Linked DNA regions of Mus musculus. The protein of the gene in region 4 purifies or fractionates together with the protein of the main gene of each other region. This does not show direct contact. Links are inferred from orthologs where the notes say so. Each region holds a gene or a part of one and is shown on either strand. Other genes may lie near its edges.

What was found.
Region 1: the proteins of Mpp5 (region 4) and Amotl2 purify together in Homo sapiens (affinity purification with mass spectrometry; 3 studies listed by BioGRID and IntAct, counting the BioPlex papers as one, with this or other methods). This does not show direct contact. The link is inferred for Mus musculus from reciprocal best matches to the Homo sapiens genes PALS1 and AMOTL2.
Region 2: the proteins of Mpp5 (region 4) and Lin7c purify together in Homo sapiens (affinity purification with mass spectrometry; 3 studies listed by BioGRID and IntAct, counting the BioPlex papers as one, with this or other methods). This does not show direct contact. The link is inferred for Mus musculus from reciprocal best matches to the Homo sapiens genes PALS1 and LIN7C.
Region 3: the proteins of Mpp5 (region 4) and Patj purify together in Homo sapiens (co-immunoprecipitation; 5 studies listed by BioGRID and IntAct, counting the BioPlex papers as one, with this or other methods). This does not show direct contact. The link is inferred for Mus musculus from reciprocal best matches to the Homo sapiens genes PALS1 and PATJ.

Annotation. Positions count from the first base shown.
Region 1 is NC_000075.6:102,720,335-102,724,893, forward strand, and holds part of Amotl2 (angiomotin-like protein 2), read left to right. Parts: coding exon 1-542; intron 543-3,234; coding exon 3,235-3,529; intron 3,530-4,352; coding exon 4,353-4,497; intron 4,498-4,559. UniProt on the Homo sapiens protein: Regulates the translocation of phosphorylated SRC to peripheral cell-matrix adhesion sites. Required for proper architecture of actin filaments.
Region 2 is NC_000068.7:109,888,665-109,893,937, reverse strand, and holds the start of Lin7c (protein lin-7 homolog C), read right to left. Parts: upstream 3,061-5,273; 5' UTR 3,054-3,060; coding exon 3,017-3,053; intron 1-3,016. UniProt on the Homo sapiens protein: Plays a role in establishing and maintaining the asymmetric distribution of channels and receptors at the plasma membrane of polarized cells.
Region 3 is NC_000070.6:98,401,886-98,406,444, reverse strand, and holds part of Patj (inaD-like protein), read right to left. Parts: intron 1,067-4,559; 5' UTR 1,033-1,066; coding exon 1,011-1,032; intron 911-1,010; coding exon 744-910; intron 1-743.
Region 4 is NC_000078.6:78,818,037-78,822,595, reverse strand, and holds part of Mpp5 (MAGUK p55 subfamily member 5), read right to left. Parts: intron 3,410-4,559; exon of another isoform or gene 3,393-3,409; coding exon 3,231-3,392; intron 1,789-3,230; coding exon 1,711-1,788; intron 1-1,710. UniProt on the Homo sapiens protein: Plays a role in tight junction biogenesis and in the establishment of cell polarity in epithelial cells.

The DNA.
Region 1 (4,559 bases), on a different chromosome or scaffold from region 4:
GTGCTGCAGCAAGCCACCAGGCAGGAGCCCCAGGGCCAGGAGCATCAGGGTGGAGAGACCCACCTGGCAGAGAACAGGCTGTACCGGCTGTGCCCACAGCCCAGCAAAGGAGAAGAGTTGCCCACCTATGAGGAGGCCAAAGCCCATTCGCAGTACTACGCAGCGCAGCAGGCAGGGTCCCGGCCGCATGTTGGGGACCGGGATCCTAGAGGAGGGGTGTCCGGAGGCGGCCGGCGACAGGATGAAGCTCTTCGAGAGCTGAGGCATGGCCATGTGCGCTCCTTGAGTGAACGGCTTCTGCAACTGTCCCTGGAAAGAAACGGTGCTCGGGTCCCCAGCCACATGAGCTCTTCCCACAGCTTCCCTCAGCTGGCCCGCAGCCAGCAGGGCCCCCAACCCCGAGGGCCCCCAGCTGAGGGCCCAGAGCCCCGCGGGCCACCACCTCAGTACCCACACGCTGTAATGGCTCAGGAGACTGCGGCTGTCACTGACCCAAGATACCGACCCCGAAGCAGCCCACACTTCCAGCATGCCGAAGTCAGGTAACCCCAGATTTCTTTCTAGTTCGGTCTCCCAGGAGGAGGAGAACCCCAAGATCATATATATCGTGGATCTCAACTGTCATGATCCCAATCCCAGGGCACCCCCACCAGTTCCTAGGGCTGTCTGATCTAGATCTACCCTCTCCTGTCTTGAGAAGGGAGAGCTGGGGGGGCTGGAGGGTAAGGGGATTTAGCTGATCCAGTCATGGTAGCATGCCTGTAATGTTTAGGTGAGGCAGGAGGATCACACCACCAGCCTGGACAACGTAGCAAGACTGTCTAAAACAAAAAGAAACTGACATCATTGCTTTAACTCAAAATATACATAGCATTGTCTATAGCATTCAAATAAGGAGGGCTCCCAGGGATGTGAATGGGGTTCAAAGGTGAGCATTTCTTTTTTTCTAAGAAAGAACTAACTAAAGACAATAGGAATCCTTACCAAACTTCTCCCGAGTTAAGTAGGCCAAAGGTGGAACTTATTGAAGGTTTTTAAGAGAAGGTGGACATTTTTTGTTGTTGGCTCATCATTGGGAGGTGTTGCTATTGAGGCTGAAAGAACTAGGTGGCTCGCTGGGCCACTTCTGTATAGTTACTGTCTGCCAGTTAATTACTTACTAGCTTTTCCCTTGTGCTTATGGGCCTAGATGAGTGAGTGAGTGAGTGAGTGAGTGAGCTGCTTTGGGGGGAAAGGGGGGGCTCAGGATGCTGTTGGACCAGAGTAGTGACTTGGCTTGACTTCCTGTGAAGTGAACTCTCGGGGAGTGTGTGTGTGTGAACTCTCGGGGAGTGTGTGTGTGTGTGTGTGTGTGTGTGTGTGTGTGTATTGGAGGGCATGATATGATTGGCTCTTAAGAGATCAATACTAGCCTTAGAGAATGGGTCATTGGAGCTAGGCTGGGAGCCCAGTTAGTATAAGCAGGAAGCCAGATCATTGCAGGAGTCCATGTTCCTAGAAATGAGGGGCTGCCTTAGTCATCTTTATTGGCCCCTGTGCCTTTTCCAGAGAAACAGGCACCATTGCTGTACCTCCTTTGGGGTGGGGTGAGGTGGGCTCCAAGGAACCTGGCTGGGGACCCTCTGGGTTCAAAGTCAGTCACCCTTGCTGAATCCTTATTTGGTCCCTCCATTTCCCACCAATTCGGTTTTCTTCACTCTGGAAGAGAATAGCCGCCTTGGGCCTAGTAGGGGAGCCAGGGGAGCGGGGATGTGTGGGGGTGTGGGGGGGGTGGAGCCTCGTGGGTTTACTCTAGCCTCCACTCCCCCAGACCCCCACCTCACCTCCCTTTTCAGGGCCGGTCAGGAAGAGTTTCTTCTTTTGGACCAGCCCTATTGAACCCTGCCAGGAAAAGATAATATCCAGGCAAGGAAGTGGGCTGTTTTGCAGGAGAACAAAAAGATAGGGAGGAGGGCGGTGGGAAATGGAAGAACCAGGAGCAAGTGTGAACGGAAAGGAGTCGTCGCCATTCTTCCCTGGAGCTCTCGATCATTCTCGAAGAATGTCAGTTGTGTCTGCCTGGCCTGTGGTAGGGAGGAGGGGGACAACAGTTATCTGAGGCAACCCTAAGAGTGACCACACTTGGCAGCAAGGGGGAGTTTAGTCAGTCTAGTGGCAGCCCTCTTCTCTGCACTCCCTGGAGCCTATAGGAGGAAAAAGGATGGGCAGGCTTTAGGGACTGAGTCAGGGGCTCAAAGAACAGGGGAGCGAGCCATAGGCTAGAGGGGTGATTTTGGACACTGGGGATGGCAGAGGGGGCATGAGAGATCCAGAAGTGAAATCCAAACTTCCAAGAGGCTTCTAGAACATTCTGAGTACAACTGAGAAGGCACTTGTGACACTTGGGGGTCACAAGGCCCCCAGAAAGAGCCTCTGGCTACCTGGGCCTAACTGTTCTCTAAACATTAGAGTGTAAGGATGTGTTACACTCATGGCCAAGGGCCGAAAGAACACAGTCCTGAACTCTGCTATGGAGCTAATCCAGGGGTTGCCCCTTAACTGAGGTGATCACCAACAGAGATGGAAGCTAGACAGTCATGGGTGAACCTGCTGTTACCAGCCATTTGGTCAAGCCTGGCTTCTGTGGCTGGAGACCCTTGTGATTTCGCCGACACAGGTGCCACTTGGCAGCTACAGCACTGGTCTGCTGAAGGCCTAGCAGCTGGAGCTGAAATCTGTTCCCCCTGGCATCTGATTCCCTGCTCTAACCTTAGCTGGGGTCTTGGAAAAGAATTTCGGTAGTTGTGGGTAGCAAGACCCTTGAAACAAAGAGGAGAAAAAACTCAGGTGAGCCGTTTTAGCTGACATGGCTTACCTGCTAGAATCCACTAGTAAGTGCCCTTCCTGGGGCCTGGGGACTCTGTGTGGCTTCCATCCCAAAAGATCCTTCTATCAATTCAAAAGGTCATGAGCGCGTCTTTAAAGGTAATATTTAAGCTGTATTTGCTTAGGACGACCCAGGTTGCTTGAACAGAATGAGCATCTGGATACAGCGCCACCGCCACCCTACCCCACACCCATCCTGCTCTCTGACTCTTGAGTCTTAGGCACATACCTTGTGGCACAGGCCCTCCCTCTGGTGGCTGCCTAACACTGGGGAGGCTCAGTCACTGGCAGTAATAGTCAGAGTGCGCGTGCACACGTGCGTGCTGTGTGTCTCGGGGCTCTGAGCTTTATTCACCTCTTCTTTCCCAGGATCCTGCAGGCCCAGGTACCACCGGTGTTCCTCCAGCAGCAGCAGTACCAGTACCTGCCACAGCCCCAGGAGCACTCTCCACCCCTCCACCCGGCAGCTCTGGGCCATGGACCCCCAAGCTCCTTTGGTCCACCTGCAGTGGAGGGACCACCCAGTGCCCAGGCCACCTTGGGCAGTGCCCACCTGGCCCAGATGGAGACTGTACTGAGGGAGAATGCCAGGCTGCAGAGGGACAATGAGCGATTGCAGAGAGAGCTGGAGAGCACTTCAGAGAAGGCTGGCCGCATAGAAAAGGTGGGGACTCCAAGGACACTCAGAGCGGTGGCCGGTGCAGAGGGAGGCAGAGGGGCAGGAAAGCCTATCAGGCTACCTTTTGCACCATATTCTCCTACACACACCCCCAGACACACACACACACACACACACACACACACACACACATCCCAAGCTGACTCCAGACAGCTGAGGACCGACCAAGAGGCCTGCCCTAATGCATGAGCAGTTGCTGGCCAGTAGTGGTTAGAAAGGACTCATTCACTAGCTCCCTGCACACTTGTACCCTCACCCTGCACAGCCCCTCCTGTGGACACCTCCCACAGAGAGCCCTTTGTGCACCCACACAACAGCCAGTCTGTTCCAGGCCAACACTGGCCAAAGAGAAAGCCCCTCCTCTCAGGGAAAAGAAAAAGCAACGCATTGGCAAAGCAAGCCAGCTAGGAGCACGTGGAAGACCTGTGGCTTCCAAGTGGGAGGGGCAGCCACATGCTCTGGGCAGAGGCAGCTCAGGCTGGGGTCTGGCACCCCCACTTCCTCGGTGAAGCCTGGCCAATTGTGTACTAAGGTTCAACTTTAGCAATAGCCTCAGGCTTTCCACTTGCTGTCTATCTACAGTGTTCTGGATAGGCTGAGCCACCTAGGTGCTCTCATCCCTGGTCCTTTGTAAACACTAGGCATGGGGCATGCTGGAGGTAGCCCCCTTGTAGAGCAGCTAGCCCAGTGTCTAGGCAGCAGTCTGGTCTACCTAAGAGGCTGCAGTCCTGTGGCAATCTCAGTAAAGTCACTGGCCTCCCTCCCTAGGACCCTTCCTGAAGTTGAATTAATTATCTGTCTCTTACAGCTGGAAAATGAAATCCAGCGGCTCTCTGAGGCCCACGAGAGCCTGATGAGGACCTCTTCCAAGCGTGAGGCCCTGGAGAAGACCATGAGGAACAAGATGGACGGTGAGATGAGACGGTTGCAGGACTTCAACCGAGACCTTAGAGGTAAGGACCAGGCACGAGGGTTGGGGTGTTGGGAGGACATCATCTGTCAGACTTTGGGGGCT
Region 2 (5,273 bases), on a different chromosome or scaffold from region 4:
GGAAATGCAGCTAACTGAGAGGTTTGCTAACAGTGTTTTAACTCAGACATGTCCAGATAGGGTTTACAAAACAGGAAGGAAAAGGAAAAAACGAAAATAGCTTTATCAACCTGGTCCTAATGCTTGTGACCTCAGAAAAGTTTCCTAGCCTGTTTTATGGTCTTTCACTGTAAAACAGCAATAATACTGCCTTCCTCATATGGGGAAAGGAAATAAAACGCTTTCACAAGCACAGATGTATGTCTCCTTGGTATGGATTAATTTTAAGAAATATTAAGCCGGCCAGTGGTGACGCACACCTTTAATCCCAGCACTTGAGAGGCAGAAGCAGGCGGATTTCAGAGTTTGAGGCCAGCCTGGTCTACAGAGTGAGTTCCAGGACAGCCAGGGCTATACAGAGAAATATTAAAGTATTAGGGGCCAAAGACATAGTTCAGCACTTCCTGAATCCTAGCACCCACTTGGTCATCTCACAATTACCTAAACCTCCACGGACCTGACACCCTCTTCTGCCACGCCCCTCTCCAAAGTCTCCCAACATATACAACTTAAAAAGAAAAAAATATGAAAGAGCTACAAACACACACACACACACAGACACATTTAGCATATTAGATAACTGTCATTGGGAATGTAAAAAATGTGAACAAAGAACTTTAGAAAACTCAACTTCATGTTATAACACTATTAATCACAATCTCTGTTCTGAGTTTTTTCCTAAGGTTTTTCTGAACCCCAGCCTCAGTATATTCTTATTGCTAATTAAGTAGCAGTAAATTCTAATTAAATTTAATTAAGTAAGTTTGAATTGTGCTCATTTGGCTCCAAAGGTTAGGATACCTTAGAGTCTATATAAGTCTATATACTATCCTATATATTCTGATCCTTGCATACTTTGACTTAACTAGAGGAAAGTTTTGATTTCATGCCACGTTAAAAACCGGACATTTAGCCGGGCGTGGTGGCGCACACCTTTAATCCCGCAACAACAACAACTACAACAACAACAACAACAACAAAATACCAGGCATTTACTTCACAGAATTAGTTAGGACTTTGCATTTGTTTATGAAAAAGTCCAAATAAACTTAGTAGAGAAGCAAAAAGTTGATTCAGTTTTAGATAATAAAAGTTTAAACTGCTATTAATCAGTTAATCAAACAGACCAGCTTTGCTCTGATGTCCCACCACCAGAATGGCTAGTAAATGTTGTTTCAGCAGTTGTTGATTTACAGTCACAATACATTATCCACATTAAAATCCTACATATACAGCTGGGAAAACGGCTCAGTGGCAGAGTGCTCACCTAATATGTACAAGGCTCTCAACTCAATACAACATGGTGGGAAGAAGGAAAAGAGGAGATAGGAGAGGGTAGAGAGAAGGGAGACACTTAGAAATGAGTTAAACACTCTATACCAAATATATGCTCATTAAGTTTGTGCACCAGTGAATTGTGCTTTGATGATTTTGAAGCAAACAGGAACTTGGTCATATGTACTGGTATTTTGCTGTGGAATTGTACTGTGGAACTTTTGAGAATATGCTAGGTCTGTTAGAATTCTTGATCAGAATCGGACTTGACACCAACTGCCTTGCTTATCCTGCTAACTGGCAAAAACCAACTAGGACTTCATTCCTACCAATATTTTGAGCTTTCTACTGTTTAACTGAAAAACTTCCTAACAGCAAAAAGCAGATGTCAGAGGGAAAAGGTCCACATTTTGTGCTTCATTTAAAGATACAAAAGAACGCCATCTTGTTTGAAACTTGCAACTCTTCTGGTTAACACCAACAGATTTGTTCCTGTGTAACAATGTGTTCAAAGCACATTGACACCGTAGTACTTGAGGGGAAAATGACACAGCTGTAAGCCTACCTTATTCTTTCCCAAGCTACCCTGTCACAAACAAGTTCATTTATTTAAAAAGAAACAAAAGGCTCCCATGGTCACTACAATAAAAAGCAAAACGAATCATAATCAGCACAGTGTGTGAGGAAAGAGGTTCTATTACATACACAAATTTTATAAAATGATTTCCTTCTTGGACGATATTGAGATTATAATTGTGAATACTAAATATATGCAATGTCAAACTCCATCCCAGGCGATGTTTGCCAACAGCACTCGAAATGCTTAACTGGTACTTTCTGGTTACTATGACTACCGAATTGTACAAAGCTTGTTCCAGTTGTCTGAAATTTAAGTTGGGGCAGAACAGAGTACAATACTGGAAAGCTGCAACTGGACCCTGGGAGAGTCTTTTCACAGGCTTCTCTTCAATCGGGTTGGTTTTTCTTGGCTGTTTGCTCTAAGAAGCAATCAACCAACCAGGTTTCCAAGTGTAGGGTTTATGAGTATGGAATTGCATGGCACTTAAAAGTGACTTACAATCAAATCACTACTCCACCTAGTTATGTAATCTCCTTCCCAAGATCAAGTCAGTTGGAGGGTTTTTTTTTTGTTTGTTTTTTGTTTTTGTTTTTGTAAGCATCCTCTCCGTGGCTGGAGGGGTGCGAAAGTTAGGAAAGAGCAACTCAAAGCCCGGAGGCTGTGGTCACAGTACTGAAGGAGTCTGAGTTTTAAATGGGGGCGAGGGAGTTTCTGCGGGAATGTGTCTGTGTCGGCCAAGTGGCAGAACCAGGCCAAGAGGCCACACTGATCTGTTCGCGCACACTGACCGTAGACAGTGCCGGGCTGCGTGGTGGCCTCGGCTTTTAGGGTCTATGAAGCTGAAAGCCGATGCTGCGGTGCGGACCCAGGGAGCGCCCGTGCCTACAGCCGTGGGCAGGCCGCTGAGCCGTGCTGTGCCCGCCGCCAGCCTCAACGGCCGGCTCTGGCGAGCTTTCAAACGCCAGCCAGCGCCCCCCGCGAGCAGCGCCCGGCGCCGAGGCCGCCGAGGGCTTCCGGGGCTCAGCGTCCGGGTCACCTTGCCTCCGCTCCGGCCCGCAGGCAGAGCGGTTCGTAGTCTCGACCCGCCCCACCCACCGCGGCCGCGACCCCCGCCGCACTCACCCCTTTCCAGCCGGACAGGTTCGCCCAGCGCCGCCATCTTCTCTTCGGAGGTGCAGACCCACAGGAAGTGACGACAGAGGGGCCGCGGTGGACCAGGCCGAGAAAGCGGAAGGGCGAGGATGGTAGTAACGCGAGAGCTAGAAGGATGCGGGTAACTACGCAGAGCGGTAGCCGGGGACGCTTTGCGACCGACGGGTGGCCTCCTTTCGTGGGTCTGTGCTCGTCCACTTCCAACAACCTGAGGTTGAAAAGAACCGATGTCCCGAGTGTCCCCTGCCTCGGGGAAGTCAGGACCTTAGTTCCGGCCCTTACCCGACCGACGGCAGCCTCTGACCGTCTAGGCTGGTTTCCCCATGTCCGAGTCCTCTTATAAATTCTTAATATCCTAGCTTGATCTAATTTAAAAAATTTACAATTCGAATTTTATCTAAAACTCTCTTTGAGCAGAAAGGTGGGAAAAAAAACAACCGGGAGAGAACGCTTTGGTATACACGAAGTATTGTTTTTAGTTAGCCGATTCAAAATCTGCTTGTGAATGAAGGATGAAGCATAGATTTTGTTTTATGGGTACATTTTGTAATTTGTAAGAATTTTTATATTAATGGGTGTTTTGCCCTTATGTATATCTGCACCATTTACAAACCTGAGGCCACAAGAGGGCATCTATTCCCCTGGAACTGGAGTTACAGATGGTTGAGACCTGCCCTGTGGGTGTTGGGAATCTAACCCCAGGACCCCTGGAAAAGGAGCCAGTACTCCTAACAGCACTGTCTGTCATCTCCAGATCCTCATAGGGCCACTCTTGAAGACTTGGTGGACCCAAATATTTTTAGTCACTAATTTCAATGAAATAATTTTTGTGAAACTTGGATTTGGGTAGCAAAGATCATAGTCCAGTGTTAAGTTTGTAACACCTGCACGACAGGATTGTTTTAATAGCTGGTTGCAGGTGACCCATTCTTTCCGTTGAACTGCAGTTTTCTACATGTTGTTATTAGGTAGTTGAATCCCACCACTGGGCAGTAGCCTTCAAGCTTCCTCATGCTCCATACAAATGACACAGGTTTTCTTGGCTGACAGGAGCTATTCTTATGAGCTGGGGTTACACATTACTTACTTTTCCAGAGACTCGAATCTGCAGACTTGTACAAGCTACACAAATCTGAGCTTTATCTCTATCTTCTGCTCCTTTGGAGTAGTCTTTTTCCATGTCTTTGATGATAAACACACAAAAAATCCCAGAATTCCAGGCTTACGCAGAAGACCATAAAAGTTTCCAGAGAATAAAAGGTCACCTTCTAAGGACTAGAAATTGAAACAGGATGCACTTTCTTTCCTTAACACAGCTGGAAGGACTCTGCAAGCTATAAAACTGTTACAGAAAATTGAATAATTCTCAAACTAGAATTCCCTCCTTGTTTTCTAGAGCTTCCATAGTGAAGTATAACAAGCGGAATGTTTTAAAACCACAGATAATTGCCTCACAAATCTGAGAGCTACAAGTCAGGAATAAAGGTACTATGTTCATTTCTAATCTACAGGAACCCTTCCTTGTCTCTGCCTGGCTTTCTAGCAGTTTTCTGGAAGTCTCTGGTGTTCCTGACTTGTGCTACTCAGCATCTTAGTTAGGGTTTTACTGCTGTAAACAGACACCGTGACCAAGGCAAGTCTTACAAAGACAACATTTAATTGGGGCTGGCTTACAGGTTCAGAGGTTCAGTCCATTATCATCAAGGCAAGAGCATGGCAGCATCCAGGCTGGTATGGTGCAGGAGGAGCTGAGAGTTCAACATCTTCATCTGAAGGCTGCAAGTGGAAGACTGACTTCCAGGCACTTAGGAAGTTGCTGTGATAGCCCACACCCACAAGTGACACACCTACTCCAACAAGGCCTCACCTGCCTCAACTGAGCCATACCTTCTAATAGTGCCACTTCCTGGGCAGAACATATGCCAACCATCACACTCAGTCTTTGTTTTCATACTCACATGGCAGTCTCACTATTATTTTCGTCTGAGCATTTTCTTAGAAGGAGACCAGTCCTATTAGACCAGGGGAGGAGACCAGGGGCCTACTCTAATCCAGTATGACCTCAGCCTAAGCTACATAAACAGTGTGCTACTACCACTGACTTATGATTCTCAGGTATGTGTGGTTTTTTTAAAGGGAAGGAGCCAACTTATTAAGCTGATAAAATTATCAGGAGAGAAGTCATACTGAAAGACGTTTTAGGGGGCATGGGTATAGCTCAGTGGTT
Region 3 (4,559 bases), on a different chromosome or scaffold from region 4:
CACACACATACATACACACAGTATATGGACCCTCCCACACAAACACATACACACAGCATATGGACCCTCCCACACAAACACATACACATGAAGATCAATTAGTATACTCGTTCTTTAACAAGGAGGAAGAGAAAAGGCAAGGTGCTTTAATAGATAGAGGCACTTGCTGCCAAGCCTGATGACCCAAGTTGGATCTCTGAAACCCTCATTGCCTAAGGAGGGAATCAATTTGCCCCCACACACACACACACATACATACACACATACTACATATACATACACACTACATACACACACACACACATATATATATATACACACACACATAACTCATACAAAAAAATGTATCAAAAATTGTAAATAGACAATAAATGCCAAGAGCTGAGAATGGAGCACAGTGGTAGATAGAGTTCCAGCATACGCAAAGCCTCGACTTGAACTCAGCACCAAAGACGGATAGAAGGATGGACGAATAGAAGGAAGGAAGGAAGGAAGGAGGGAGGTTAAAGCTATTTTATAACTTTGAAGAAAATGTTGAGATTCTAAAGCATTTGGTTTTTACAAATTTATCACATCCCATAGCCTAGCATAAACTTCATCAATATTTATACCATCCACAGATGCTATCTACAGCTTTCAGGCCCCACACAGCTTTTACTAATCTAAGAGTCGCAATCCTCCCGGCTCCTCCTGTATTCCTGCTGGTCGGAATCCACCCAGGTAAGGCCGGCTGAGCAACTTACCTGTCCCTTCAGCTGCTTGATGGACTGCTGCAGTGTAAGGATCTGGTTGAAGAGAGGGCTCTTCAGCGTCTCGTAGAACGCAGACAGCTTCTCGTTCTGCGTCGTGTCTCCCTTCTCCTGCAGCTTCCCTCGAAGGCGATCCAGGACCTGCAGGACCTGCATCTTCTCTTGGTTGGAGAAAGGTGATCAGAGCTCAAGTCAGACACCATCTCACAATCCATTTTTGAATCATTACATAACAACAATAAAAATATATAGCGTCTATACCTGCAGCAGGGTTTTCAGGCATTTTGGGATATTCTTTTCAATCACTTCCAAAAAGTCTAAAGGAAAAAATTAACTTTCATTACAGATGTCTGCAGTCCTATGGGGAAACTAAAGCAAACTTCAGAGCGTTCTTTATTAAGACTGTACTGGGTGAAATTCAAACTAAAACCACAATAAGGCACTAACGCATGTCTACTCAGATGAGGAAATTTTAACAAGACCAGAGTGAGTGTTGGCAAGGCTGAAAGGCACATCATGCCAGAAAGAAAATAAAATGACACAGTCCCTTGGGGAAAGTACTTGATATTTTATTTTTACTTAATTTTTATAGTTTAAATCATAAGTAGTTTCTTTTTCTTCTTCTTCTTCTTTTTTCTTGTGCTTTTGGTTTTTTGAGGCAGGGTTTCTCTGTGTAGTCCTGGCTGTCCTAGAACTCCCTGTTTAGACCAGGCTGGCCTCGATCTCATACATATCTGCCTGCCTCTGCCTACTGAGCACCAGTATTAAAGATGTGCTCCACCACCACCTGGCATCATAAGTAGTTTCTTATAAAGTTAAAAAGTACTAATTAATAACACACTCCTCCTGCTTAGAAACATTTACCAAGAGTAACGAAAAAAAATATGACCCATATGTGAGAGAACACAATACCATTTGTAAAAGGCCCCAAGTAGGAATACTCAGATGCCCAATCACAGACAAGTGGATAAACTAATGAGCGTTATATAACCCTTGGGGGAAGGGTTGCTGACACAACTGTAAGGATGAACCCGGAAACTACTCTGCTGGGGATGGGAGGTGGGGGAGTGGCTCGGGTGGCAGAGTCCATGACTACGCAGGATGCCTCAGGTCTCATCCCTAGTACCACATAAAACACATTACAAGTGATGCGTGACTATAATCCCAACACTTGGGAGGACTGGACAGGACAGGACAGGACAGGACAGGAGAATCAGGAATTCAAGGCCAGGTTAGACTACGAGGGATATGTGTCAACAACACAACTAACAAGGCTGTCATCAGCATTGGTAAAGGTCCAAGCGGTCCATGAAAGTGTTCCCCAGTGTGAAAATTCCCCCAAGGACCTGTGAACAGGACATCTCAGAAACACTTCTCAGCATCAGAATTGCACAGCTCTGGCAACAGTAAACAGGCAGCTACACAAACAGGACACCCAGCATGGCACCATCCTTCTCCATACCAGCACAGAGCCCCAAACCACCAGTCTGATGGCCATTAATCTAGCAAGATCAATAAAGCAAAGAATGCAAGCTCAAAATTGTAGGATGCCATTGTTATAGCTGAATGTCAGCCTGGTATGTTCTAGTTCATCAGAGAATAACAAGAACCTGGACTGCAGATATCTCTGATAAGAAGGCGGAGAGGACAAATCTACATGATCTTTTAGAAGGACAAATGTAGACGTGTACATTTAATTTACATTCTCTTTCCCCAGAATTTCAATTTCTGAGTGGGTGGCACTCGTGCTCTCTCTCTCTCTCTCTCTCTCTCTCTCTCTCTATATATATATATATATATATATATATATATATATATATATATATATATATCAGCACAATGATGTACGCACATGAGTAGTTTTTACGCTCTTTTTCATAGAGAAACTCCTGCAAACGTCAATTCTCACTAGTCACTGAAATGATGACTAAGTCAGAGTATGCTGAAGAGAAAAAGAAAAAAACATCACAGCATGTGGCTCTCTCCTTCAGCCTCTGGAGGCTCCCTGGCTGTAGTCCTCTTAGCAAATACACTTTAACAGAGTTCTTTATCTTAAAATGTCAGGCACAGTCTGAGAATCCATAGAGTCATGGGCATGGCTGGCTGCGAAACAGGAGACAGAGACACTTTTGTTTACCCAAGTAAAGAAAAGTTTATGAAAAAAAGGCTTCCAAGACAGAGAAGTTTTCCTTGAGTTCCAGGCCAGCAAGACCCAATCTGAAAGGAAATACATAAAAATAAAACTAAAGTAAGCATAACTAAAGTAAGCATGGAAAAACAAATGTAAAAAGAAAGAAGGAAGGAAAGACAGACAAACTTTATTTAGAAAAAAAAATTTATATATATATATATATGTATATGTGGATATATATATATATATATATATATATATATATATATATATATCAGAATTTTCCAGGTTTTTTTTTTTTAAGTATGGTGCTTTAAAAATAAAAAAGTGTCTTCATGGACTTAAAAGCACATATTTTCAAGGCAATTATTAGAAGCAGATCATCACCAGAGTCTAGGACTCTGGACCACCCCAGTGTGGTGGATCAGACCCTTGTGCACACTAAGCTCACACTATACAGTCCACCTACATGCCTAGCTCCATCATATCTTCTTAAAAGCCATAACTATGCACCTGCAGGTCATGTTTGGTTACCATGTGATTAAAAACCTAATTCAACAGGGCAGGCTATATGATCCTGACTACAATGAACTAGAGGATAAATCTTCTCTAAATCTGAGAGATTTGTGGTTCTACATGACATCTCTAATGGCCAGCAAATATTCTTTGCATTTCATTATTCTCTCCTGCTCAAGGGAACATATTCCTGGCATCAAAACCATTTGCTTACCAACAAACCACTTGCTATTCAAAATAAGCGTGTTCTGAGACTGAATTTTACTTCGATGGACAATAAGAATTTCAGTAAGAGGCTGTAAAAATGCACTCAGGAGTGGTTTCCTATATCGACACTTCAAGCATGTTGGCAGTGTTCCGTCAAGTGAGGGGAAGTGACATTTACCTGCTGGCTAGGGCTCCTCCAGCAGACAGCTATCTGCATCTCACTCCTGAAACAGGTACAGTTGGAATTGAGTGACATCTTGAATCCATGTAAGAACTGAGCATGCTGGGAAATCTACCCTTTGTATAAAACAGGAAAACTGTACAACATGCACAAGTGTTGTGAAACGCAGCACTTAAGGGATATTTGGGTTATTTTCATACTTCTGTAAGACAGAAACGTGTGCACTGGGGAATTTTCTAGAAAAAAAAATTTAGGAAGCAATAGTTATTGCTTCCAGAAAATAGAAAAGAGGAATATAAAAGTTAGCCTTTGAGGACTGAGGTTAGAACTCAGTGGTAGAGCGTGTATGCATGAGAGCCTGGATTCAATCCCCAACACCAGAGAAAAATAATAACAAAAATTAGTCTCTTTTACTTTATAGATTTTGGGGTTGTTTGAATTTTTATTAAAAAAAAATACGGACTTAAGATTTTAGTTCAGTGGTAGAATAGCATGTGAGACTCTCAAGTTTTATTCTCTCCACTACAATAAAAATACACAAAAACAAGTACTAATTTTATAATTATAGAACAGTGGTAAAAGTGTCAGATGTGGTACCACATACCTGTAATCCCAGCACTCGGGAGGCCAAGACAGGAGGATTCAAGTTTGAGGACAGCCTGGGCTACACAGTAAGACCCTATCTCAGGGGGACAAAAAAAAAAATCCAAGAAAAATTAAGGCCAAAAACGGCCAACACTTTTCAGACTTCTGTTGGCTCATGAGACTTCAATTT
Region 4 (4,559 bases):
AGCTAACCAACAGCTGTGATGAATGGATGATTTCAGGACTCTGATTTTGCATTTGCTGAAAACAAGTGACAACATACCACATTAACTGAGAAGCAGCAGTATCAATATAGCATGCTAGTTTTATCTATTAAAGTAACTTTAACAGGCCACCAAGATACCTCAGTGGGTACAGGGCTTGCTGCCAAACCTGACGACCCAATTTTGATTTCTGAGACCCACAAGGTGGAAGGAGAGAACTGACTCCCTGATGACCATGTAGATGCTGTACTGCATATGCACACCTTAAAAAAATAAATGTGTAACTGTAAAAGAAATAACTTTTATTATAACTGCATGAACAGCAGAAAAGAAAAGCTGATAAAATATACCTCAACCTCTGACACTCATTCTCAAAAGACAAAAATCATTTACTGAGGAAGGATGGGTTATCAGGAGCATTTAGAAGACAGCATGTTCTAACCCTCTTCAGTGTGCAGAGCCTCTTTTCACACTTGAGCCTTATTTACAGGACAGACACATGGAAAGGCATAGCAAGTACAGAGAAATGACTAAATTCAGAGGCCAAGTCTGTTTCCTCATGTTTCTTCCTACAAAGAATTCTAAACATAAAAAAGGTTGCACACGCAACACCGACCGCAGTATGTTCTGGAAAAAAACAAAACAAAACAGAAAACAGAAAGAGCTAAATAAAACAACACACCTGTGGTGACTATGAGCAAAGCAGAATGCTATACATGTATGAAAATGTATGATACATGTATGAAAATGTTATGATAAAACCATGATTTGATATGATAACTAAACAAAAATAATGATAAAAAATAACAAATATATAAAGATCAGGCTTCTATGTCAATTTAGGAACTTAAAACCTCATTTTTAATTGCTTATGATGTAGTTAATATGCTACACCATTTATGGTTTTAGTATATGCAGAGACAGAGGCTTACCATTGATATTGTTAGAATATTTTCAACCTTCTGGACCAAATACTGATAAGGAGCTATTTCCATTCTTTCCCAAATCTCCATCTAAGGAGCCACTGAAATTTTTCTGTTTCTATGGGCTTACCTATTTTGGATACTGTATGTAAATAAACCAGTAAAGGGCTTGTGATTGCCATAAATTTTTCAAGCTTATCTATTTTGTAGCATATACTCACACCTCAGCCCTTTTCAATCAAGTAAGATTTCAGTGTACAGACAGATAAACTATGTTGTATTTTCAAGTTATTGCTGGTGGCTGTTGCTATTTTTAAGTTGTTTTTATATTTTGGGTCTTATAAATAATACATGCCTGAATATTCATGTACGATTGTTCTATTACCAGGAATTGCTAGGTTGTACAGTAATCAAATCTATCATTTAATAGAGCTGTGTTAAATACTTAGTAGATAGAAATACACCAGAGTAATGACTTACACACATTTGTTAAAGTACCCTTCTCTATGTGACTGAGCAAAACTTAATTATACCTGAAGACAAACAACACTGTTAGTCTGAAGTTGAACTATGTTGTATATTTTACTTTTAAAAAGTTCAGAGTTTACTACATTTTAAAAGTTGATTTTTATACTTATTTAAATACAATTACGTGATTTCTGTTTTTACTTGAACAAACTATATTCAGTGAAGTTTCTGATACAGAAAATTAGACATAAGTCAAAGAAGAATAAACAATTTTAAAATAAGTAATTTTAAAATTACTTACTACAGTTTCTTTGGCAGGAGGGGGCTTGATCTGTTGACTAGGAATCAGAACAAATGTCAAAGTACCATGCATATCAGACTGTAACAGAAAGGTTAAAATACTTTAAAAATCTCCCATGATCTTATGATTAACACACTTTAAACAGGATGATGGCAGAATTCCCTCAGTCCTATACGAAAACATTTCCCATCCCTAGCTACTTTCATTATTTAGTCTTCCTGTCCACTGTTTACTGTATTGAGTTGTGCAGCTAGATTCATAATTCCTGCCCAGTACAGCACTAGCTGTATTCAGACATATCCAGACTAGACAGCATTCTTCATAATGTTTATACAAAATACAAACAGTGCACAGTGCAAGCCAGTACCAATCAAATGGACCATGAGTGACCATCAATGGCACTTTGCTCTACAGAGCTATGTATGAGCAGAGATTTGGTGGAAAGAGGGACATGGATATTTTCTAGCTTTTACAATAGATATCAGCAGGTAGGAGACATACTACTGTATCACCTCATGTTGAATGATTAAGAATATGCACATGGGTTTGTAGAGGGGAGTACTGGCTGGTGCCATGGGAGGAGAATCACCAAAAAGGTCAGTCTGGGCTATATAATGTGTTTTATTTCAGACCTTGCCTTCAAAAAGGAAAAAGAAAAATCATATGTTGTGTTGTATACAATATGATTAAACATCATTTTCAAGACAATGAGGCTAAGCATGGTGGCACATGCTTTTAATTCCAGCACTTAGGAGACATGGACAGGTATATCTCTGAATTTCAGACCAGCCTAGTCTACATAGTGAGTTCCTGGCTAGCTAGGACTTCATAATGAGACCTCAAAACAAACAATCAAAAAACAACAAAAGACTGTTCATCAGTTAAGAGCACTTGTGGCCCTTGCAGAGGATCTCGGTTTGATTCCCAGCACCCATATTTTGGCTCACAACCATATGTAGCTCCAGCTTTAAGGAATCCAATGTCTTTTCCCGACTTTCTCAGATACCAGTCATGTATGTGGAACATATTCATGCAGGTAAAACACTCATAAGGCATAAAGTAAGTAAATCTTAGAAAATTATTTTTAAGAAGGTAATTAAAAGTGAGTACCAAAGTATACCAGCACTGTCCAGGATAATTTACTCAACAGAGATGTGTAGTGGCTATCTCAGACAACAGCCATTAACTACATAATCAATCTTGTTCAACTATAGCTAGTGTGAATAAGAAACTGAGTTTTAATTTAATTCACCAGGAATGTACAAGGTGTACAGAAATACATAGAAACAAATCTTTAAAAAAATAGTAAAAGTAAAAATAAAAGTTATAATAAAACTCAAAGTAAATAAAAATAAACCTAAAACTAAATATATAATAACAAAAATTGACAAATTCTGTAAAAGTTAGGCTAAAAACTACCTTATACTCATTAGTTATTTTAAAAAATGTTCTCTAATGATCTAAGTTTAATAACAAAACAAGCTTTTAAATGAATCAAATCTTCTACAGTCTGAACGTACCAACAAGTCAAAAACCTCATTGACATCCTTGCCCCGGATTTCAATGCCGTTGATCTCCAGAACTTCGTCTCCTTCGTGCAGGAGGCCACTCTTCTCTGCGGCGCCTCCTTTCACTATCCGGCTTATGATGACAGAATCCATTTCATTACGAACTGTGGCACCCTAAAAACACCCAATATCTAATTTAAACATAAAAATGCAATTTTTTGTTAAGCATTTCATTTTTAAATTTTATTCTTTTAAATCTAGTAAGACTAGTCCTTAGTTTAGCTTATCTTAAGAAAAAAAGATTTCCTCACATTGCTAAAGTAACAACTGTAATTGTAACACGAAAGCTAAGTATTCCCCACCCAACATTTCTGTCTCAGAGATACTGTATTCATTAGAATTCTGAAGTACAGACTTCTGAAGCATATAAAAGCAGAAAAAAAATACACTGTGTTTAAAGACATAAAATCAACTTTTTTTCTGCTGCATTCTATTCCAACACCTAGAAAACATCTAGGCATAATTAACACAGTGCTTAACTATAAAGAATTTCTTAAAATTCAAAATATAATTAAGGGATAAATAGCTATATGGCTAACTATACAAATGTTAAACACAGCTATAGCCAAATGTATTAAATACTAATATTTATTATACAAATTGAAAGAACAGTGGGAAAGTGTATACTCAAAAGCTAGAACAGTAAAATAAGATAAAACCTATTTTGTGGGGCTCAGTGGTTACAGCAGTTCCTACAAGGGACACAGATTTTTGTTCCTAGCACCCACACTGGACAGCTTACAAACCCCTGTAACTCAAGCCAGGGGATCCAACTCCCTTTCATCCTCTGCAGGCACCTGCATGCATGTGGCACATATAAATACACTCAGACACATACTCATAATGAATAAACAAATCTTTTTTATAAAACTAATTTTCTTAAGTATTTACTTTAATATTATCATGACCTTTCCTTTTATTCTCCAAGATGGAACCAGTTACATAAAGTACTTAATGCACTCTTTTTAAAAATTATTTTTATTACTCTATTACTCTGTGTGTGTGTGTGTGTGACCGCGTATGTGTGTGCTGGAAGTCTTCAATCTCTTTCCATCTCATATTTGGAGCAAAGTCACTTAACCTGGAACTGACTGATCTGGCTAGGCTGGTGGCTAGCCTGCAAACTCCAGAGAAGTCTTCCTGTCAGTGACAGAGCTGGGATTACAGAAATGTCATCATTCCTGGCTTTTCACATAGGTGCTGGGGTACAACCTCTTGATCCTCATGTTTGGGTGCCAAGAACGTTTCAATTAAACTATGTATCTAGCTCCCAAAGACCAG